Oryzias latipes: one gene and its partner. Each later gene encodes a partner of the first gene's protein in a complex. Links are inferred from orthologs where the notes say so. Each region holds a gene or a part of one and is shown on either strand. Other genes may lie near its edges.

Evidence for each region.
Region 2: the proteins of lrrk2 (region 1) and ras-related protein Rab-7L1 are in contact, whole or in part, in a cryo-EM structure (PDB 8FO2), measured with the Homo sapiens proteins. The link is inferred for Oryzias latipes from reciprocal best matches to the Homo sapiens genes LRRK2 and RAB29. Residues at the interface, in NP_940980.4 of Homo sapiens: Arg361, Lys362, Arg399, Met402, Leu403, Leu406, Met407, His408, Leu437, Ser438, Lys439, Gly440, His442, Leu443, Asn444, Glu447; in NP_001129134.1 of Homo sapiens: Leu7, Val42, Asp43, Phe44, Ala45, Leu46, Arg58, Gln60, Trp62, Leu76, Tyr77.

What each region holds. Positions count from the first base shown.
Region 1 is NC_019864.2:2,194,665-2,198,493, forward strand, and holds the start of lrrk2 (leucine-rich repeat serine/threonine-protein kinase 2), read right to left. Parts: upstream 3,058-3,829; 5' UTR 2,728-3,057; coding exon 2,592-2,727; intron 948-2,591; coding exon 862-947; intron 1-861. UniProt on the Homo sapiens protein: Serine/threonine-protein kinase which phosphorylates a broad range of proteins involved in multiple processes such as neuronal plasticity, innate immunity, autophagy, and vesicle trafficking.
Region 2 is NC_019865.2:28,348,070-28,351,992, reverse strand, and holds the start of ras-related protein Rab-7L1, read right to left. Parts: upstream 2,745-3,923; 5' UTR 2,627-2,744; coding exon 2,509-2,626; intron 1,860-2,508; coding exon 1,788-1,859; intron 1,711-1,787; coding exon 1,529-1,710; intron 378-1,528; coding exon 256-377; intron 1-255. UniProt on the Homo sapiens protein: The small GTPases Rab are key regulators in vesicle trafficking. Essential for maintaining the integrity of the endosome-trans-Golgi network structure.

The DNA of each region.
Region 1 (3,829 bases):
AAATACCTGTTAACAGGTATAAGAGTCTGTTAGACAGTTACAGGAATCGTTTGATCGCAGTGATTGCCTATATGGTTCAAAGTATTAGATTACTGGTACAAATTGTAAATCATCCTGTAAAGGCGTGGTTGTAAAGCAATATCTGACCTTCATTGGTTAATTTTCATTATACCATGGTCCGGGTGAATACCCGATTCTGATTGGCTGCTGGGTGTGCATTAAAACCTGATAACCGCACGGTGAAAGAAGAAGTTCCGGTCACCTAGTTTAAATGTTTTGTATCACTGCTCTGGCTTCTTCAAAACAACCTTTTGCTTCATCATTTGGACAAAAACAAGTGGTAAGAGGTGAACTTTCTCTCTGAACTGATGCTTCATTCAACCCATTGGAAAGATCAGCATATATATATCGCCGAATCTTGACTGCAGCGGTGGTCCATCACGTAACAAATAGTCCGCTTTTTGTGAGAAAAGTGATCCAAATTGGAAAAAAAACAAGAATTAAGGACTAAAAAACTGGTTCAAATGTATAGATTTTGTAAGTGACCATGGTATAAGCGGGTTAATGGCCTTGGAAGTGTGCGGTTATTACTTTTTAACGCACTTCGCGTCGGACGGTTCAGGCTTCCACGGCGTGCGTTAAAAAGTAATAACGCACACTTCGTCGGCCATTAACCCTTACTTATTACTTTTCTCAGATTCAAATTTCTTTGACCATCGAGCTTTTCTTTCAATAACGGAAGGGTAACAAAAATGTTGTCCACGTGTGCATCAGAACCCCACTCTGAGAGCTTAGACTGGTTGTGGATACCAGCTGATTTAAAAACTCCTGTTGATTTGATGGGGAAAGGCCTTGCATTACCTGCTGGACTCTCCTGCTGCTGATGTATGTGGACAGCACAACCATAAGAGGTGTGTGCACTTCTTTGTCTTTAAACAGTTCAGCTGCTGCAATAAAACAAAAGAAAGCTTGGATGAGAGAGCAGGACCTGACGAGGAGGAGGTAACATCGTGGAGGCAAATTCAGTCCAATCCATCACAAGTAAAGAACCCACAACGTAGTTTTTGGATCAAAAATGAAAAATGAAAAATTTACTGCCAATTCTGGAATGAACTTTGTTTGAAATTAAAAGTTTAAAGGATGTGGAAGTAAGTAAAATGTCTGTTTATTGGTCCCTGTTGTTGTTTAAATAAAAACATTAAAAATGAACATTTTCCTCTGCCATGTTTCTTATGATGGAAGACATGTATAAAGAAAATAAATTCAAACTGCATTTCTGAGTATTTCATGATTTGGTCATCAACTAAAGTCCCACTCTGATCCTCTTTTGATCTATTTTCAAAGCGTACTGAGTGGCCTTTTATTTATAATTATGCTGTTTTTAGCTCAATTCAAAATATTTGTCATAATCTAGGACATGGTTCCTGCAGAGCAGCAGGATTTCATTCTAAATTTGCTTCTGAGTTATGGGTGGGACCGTTGCAGAGCAACCCCCTCTTCCCATTGCCCATCTGTTCACAGTCTCTCCCACTAGCCTACAGACCCTCACAACCCCAATCGATGTAACCAAAAGGCGAGCAACATCGCCCGGCAATATGCAGCCGTACAGTTTTGATCCGGATTCCAGTCCAGTTTGAGAAATCAAAGTCATACGTGGATCTATTCGTCTGCAAGTGGATGCATCAGAATGGAGCAGAGCAGGAAGCGTGTGCCCCCCCCCCCCCCCCCCCCCCCCCCCCAGTTTATTACATCTACATCACTATTTTACAAACAGCATTTTGTCATCTACTCCCAATTTACAAAAATTTGAACCCAAAAATACTCAAAAATATATGTCCTCCGTCATGAGAAAAAAAAAATGCCACAAGAACACCAAAACCATCGGATGTACGACTCTAAAATTCAGATGGAGACATTTGAAGGCAGACTCAATTCTAGTCGTTCTACATGCAGCTGTTATCTGCATGAAAGCCTGTGTTTTAGGGGAACTTTTCTGAGTCAAAACGAAGGTATCAGCAGGACCTCTGGCTGGAGAGCATTTCTGTTTTTTGGGTGTCGGCTTGATCTGAAACTGGCAGGTTGAGAGATGAACTAAAAAGACACATGTTTTGCCGGCATGCCCTTGAGCATCACAGGTTCAGAATGGGGGGTTGGATGTCCTTCAGGTGGTTCCGGGGCACGATGTCTGCTCACACGGGAGAGCAGAGTTGACCCTGTCGGAGGTACTAACCCTCAGACATGGATTCATTGGAGTTAAAGCAGTCCTGCTTTGTTTTTGTCCACTCATGGCAGTGGCATTGTGCCGTTACCATGGAAATGGAGTTTCAACAGGGATAAAGTCATTTTAAAAATGACCATTATTATTGAAATTATTGTAGGGGGAATATTTTCCAAATAGATTTCATAATAAAAGTACATCTAAGATCATAAACCCAAATAAAAAAAAACATCATGCAGACTTTTCAGGGACATTCAAGTCTTTGCTAAACAAACTATTTGAAATATTCTGTAAATGGGAGGCTAAGACGTTGATGTTTGTTTGTTTGTTTTCGTTTGGTGGTGTTGGGGGGGGGGGGGGGGGTGGTTCCTACCGGAGTCCTCGAGCGCCAAGGAGAGCAGATCCTGGATGATCTGGATCAGCGTGGACATCAGCCTGTCCTCCTGAGGAGACTTCAGCCTCACCAGAAGTTTCCTCAGCCGTTCTTCTAATTCCTCCTGGTCGACCATGCTCCTGAAAGTCTCCCGGTACTAGTGCATTGGTCGAGGTCAGTCGGTCGGTGTTTCCCGGAGAACAAGACGAACGAAGAAGAGCTCGCGCTCACCGCGCCGTAGACGTTAGCTAAGCTGCTCCATGTTCCTGCAGCGACAGTGAGCCGAGCCGAGCCGGGCGGGGACGCGGTCCCTGAGTAACTCAGTGAGTTCCGGCCCTGACCTCATCCTCGAACCACTTTCTCTGAGAGAAGAACGTGTTCCTCCTTCTTGCGGCCTCGGAGAATCCGAAAAGACCGCGGTTCCTCTCTCTTCACAGGCGAGTTCCTGTTTCCACGCACTTCAATCATATGACTCGAGTCTGAAAAACACTTCCCGTTTACACAGGAGACTCACTGGCAGCTGTCCCACTGACTGACCCGGTCCGTTCCGGTCCGCCCTCCTCACGACGCCTGACAGCTTCGCTCACGTCCGCTCATCGTTTGACTTCATGACAGTCGGTAACGTAAAATGGTCAATTTAACAAAGAAAACTCAATAAAAAGACTTTACACTGACGATGCCGTTTCTTTTCTTATTGTTATTTTAGGCCAATTAAAAACCATCACCCTTCTTCCTGACAGTAATCCCTCCTCTGCTGAACAGATGCTAGATTTATTAAAGAAGTCTCCGTTTTCTTTTCGTTACCTGAAAGAGTAAACTTTTATTGTATTGCGCACTTACGCCCGGATTTACGGTAGTGTTGTATGGACCGTCAGTGGTCCAGTAAAGAAAAAAAACTATGCAGGTCCCAATGTGGAAATAAATTCATTTAGTCTTATACCAAAATTAAAAATCGCATTTTACAAATATGTTTTACGACAGAGTATTAGGGCCACAATAATAATAAGAAGAAATAGCCTAAAGAAATAGACGAGAATAAAGTCATAACTGTATTAGAAAAATATCAAAATTTTGATTGTAAAGTTGTAAAAAAAAGAGACAAGCGAAAAAGTTAAGACAATAGTCACAAAACCACAAGAAAGAAAGTAAAATATGATGAAAATGGTCGTAGAATTACATGAAAAAATTAAAAATGTAACAAAAATAAAGTAATGCACTTATGAGAAAAAAGTCAATAT
Region 2 (3,923 bases), on another chromosome or scaffold:
GATCAAATTCTTATTTTCCACAATAGTAAACAAATAAATTCTTTGAAAATCAGACAAAGTGATTTATCTGTATTTTATTTTCTCATTTTGTCTCTCATTGCTGAGGTTTACCCATGATGAAAATTACAGGCCTCTCTCAACTTTTTAAGTGGGAGAACCTGAACAATTGGTGGCTGACTAAATACTTTTTTGTCATGACTCTCTAAAAGGTTTGCAATCATTTCTTTACATTGACATTGAGTCTTCTTTTTTTACCTCATGGCTTCTCCGACATTCTTGTTCTCTTTGACAGAAGCCTCCATCCAGGTGAAGAAGCCGTTAGCTCCGCTAAACTGATCAATAGTGTCTGCCGACACGGCCCGCTCAGCCAGGTCACACTGTAGCAGCAAAGGACAGTAACTTACAGAGAATCTCTCAGCATTCACTGCAACAAGACCCTTTTGCGATTCATGTTTAATAAGTTGATATCACTGTCAGAAGCTGTCGTGTCTTCTCTTGTTTTGGTTTGCTCTTGTGTTTAAAGTGTGCCAATACAAGATTGGCAAAAACAATCATGAGACCAATTTTTTCTTTTTGGTGAAAGGAAAAACAGATCCGCTCATGTTCTGGTAAACTGATAATACAGTCATGGTTTGTCAGGTTAGGTTTACACCATTGACTGTATATGAGAACTGGACTGAGTGACCCCTCTTCCCTTGTGTTCCAAACAGGAAATTTCCTGCTGGTTGGAAGTAGCTAAAAATCCCGCAGTCTTCTATAGAGAAAAAAACAGCTATTACTCTGAATATCATTCAATTTGTTTGAATAACCATTCTTACTCTAGCCTTTTTAACATGTTGTTGATAATGCTAATTTTAATTCACAATATTTGTTTTCTTCTGTACTGCAAGTTTTTCAAGTTATAAACTTGCCATCAGATGCCTCAATAAAAGTATGTGGTCTCATATCCAGAGCTTACTTTCAAGTGGTAGGGGTGTGGCCTTCCAACAAGCTCACTCCTGATTGGCGAGAGTAGTTCATGGGTGACATCACACTCACTCAGTCAGTTCGATTCTCCATATGATTATACACAGTAAATACAAACACTACAATAACATGCTGAAACAAAAACATCTGCTGCTGCAAAAACCTTTGTTTCAAATAATAAAAATACACACTTTTGTTTTTGCACAGACATGCCTAGACTTTTTTTTCTACACATGATCTCAGATTGTTTCTCTCCAGTTTTTTAAACAAGACCTCTATTCCATTTGTCACTGTTCCAACTCCCTTTTGTTTTTCAGTGATAAGTAGGTCTATTTCAGTCTCATTGACTGTGCTCTTTCAATTGTCGTCAACCGAGTGACGGCGGGTGTCTTGACTTATACAGCTGCCGTAACGAAACAAGAACCTTTTTTTGGAGCCATTTAGAATTTTAAAAACCTTCCATGTGAAGCCCATCAGCAATCAGCTGCAGTCACATGTGTATTGGTTGTGTAGCAGCCTGTTCATTATACTGATGTATCATGAAGTATTATGACTGAATGACCTTGTTGGCCAGCAGGAGACAGGGGATTGTGTCTCCGTTCGGCAGCATGGCCTTGTGGTCCAGGTCCTGTTTCCAGAGGCGACAGCTTAGGAAACTGGATGAGCTGCTGATGTCAAACATCACAATGCAGCCCACTGCACCTTTATAATAGATTCTGGTCATGGATATGAAGCGTTCTTGGCCTGAAAGGAGGACACACAGTTCACTGTTGCATCCATAACCAATAACAGCAAAGGTTGGTTTGGAAATCACTTTGTACCTGCTATGTCCCAAAGTTGCAGCCTGACTTTTTCTTCATCGGACCAGTGCAGCAGTTTAACAGCAAAATCCACTAGAAGTGTGTTTGAAAAAACACAAACAGAGAACACAATGAAGGGAAAAAAGTGTTTTTTCCTTCCACTGCAGCCATCCTTTAGTGAGTGTGACACATAACGTCTGGCCTCTAGTTGATTATGAACCAGCGTTTAGCCTCTGTTACGGATTACAGCTACTGCATAAACATGCCTAAAGCCGTCTGTAGTCTCTGCTCCCTGTCAGCTTTACACAAATACTGTCAGTACCCATGTGACCACAACCTGCATGTTGACCACAGTGGGCGCTGATCTCAACCTGAACCACACAGGTGGCTGTGTTTGAGTCATAAAAGAAGTCAGTGACTCAAGGTGAAACCAGCCAGTCAGCTTAAAAAGCCTGACAGCGCTCGTCTTACAGTGTGGACAAAGAAAACACACCTTTCTACGCATATTTTAGGTAAACTGGAGTATTTTATTTTATTCAAGGAAATAAAAAAACTGCTACACACAATATGTTCTGACTAAACAAGACAAATATATATACAAATATATATTTAAATAAAGGTAGATTGCACAGCGGATTTATTATTCTGACAATTTGACCTGGAAGTAGAGCTTCCTCTCTTGTGAATACCAGTATAAAGTAACAAGAGCACATATGTATAGTTCTAGAAGATATGAACGTACCTCCTACAGTCATCTTGTATGTTCTGTTGAAATTTCCACTGATGTAACGGTTTACAAAGGAAGATTTTCCAACATTTCCATCACCAACAATCAGTATTTTCAGCAGGTGCTCTGTCATCGTTCGTCTTCTCTCTGTCACATGATCATGATCAAGTTAGTCGTGAAGTTCCCAGCAGCTCAAAGTTCAAACCGGAAATCTGCTTTATGAGGCAAACATGCAATGTTTTATTTCAGCATTTAACTGCAAGAGTACGAGACAATATAAAAGAAGAAAATGAGGATCTTTTACAGAACTCAAACAGAGACTTTAACCCTTGTGCTATCTTAGATGACCTCACCCTTGCATTGACGTGTTCTCCCTACCATGACAAAGGTGGATAAAGGTGGAAAGATTTCATGTAATCCATGGACAGCAGTGAGGTTGACAAATCATTGAAGAAAAAAGGTTCAGCGCACTGTCTAGTGGGTCTAGATGACCCAACTCCCAATGTTAAAGTGCCTAGGATGGCACAAGGGTTACACAAAGCTTTTGAAAAAACTGAAAATAGTACAAATGGCCGTAGTTTCCGTCTCTCCACTCTGTCTGTCACTCTGACATCCGGGGTTTTGGTTGTCAGAACCCCGGATGGGTTCCATTGGAGGAACTTGGTGCACTTAGACATCTGAACATGGTCAAGCTACCTTTTGGATGTTTAAACCAGGTTTAGAAGGTGAATAAAGGGGATGTAATAGTTTCTTTTTCAATGGTTTATGATGCCAGCGTACGTGTTGGTTCTGATCTTTAAAAGAACACAGACAACACTTTTTGAATGCAGTAGAATAAAGCGTCCACTTCCCAATCTCAAATTAAATGCAAACCACTGGGGGCTGGTGTCACAGGGAAGTCATTTCCTATCAAATCTCATTTTAAAATTCAAGTTTTAAGGCAAAGATAAACCCATTTCTAGCCTAGTGACAGACACTTTTATGTTAATTTCCATCCATCCATTTTCGTTACCTGCTGAATCCCTTTTTTAATCCCTATTTTTTTTCAATCAGTTGTTTTGTTTTAGGGAATGTAAGTAGTCCTACATATTACACATAGGAAGACAGCATGAGTTACAATTTATAAGATGTGTTCCATTTGGTTATAATTAATAATAAATCTTTCCCCACAAAAATGAAACGGAAACAAAGAAACCATGCAGACTAAACCATGAGGTTTGTCCACTAGGTTTGTAAACTAGGCCACTGTCATCGACTGCTGGACATGTTTCAGTCGCATGCTGAGTCATGTACATGACTCTCTTCTCTGCGTTTTTTCCTGTTTGTTTTATCGTGACTTGGCCACTTTTCTTGCAGCAGATAAAAATGTTCAGGATTTAAAAATAACTTCTGGTCTAAGCACGTTTATAATGATTTTCCAAATGATCTTG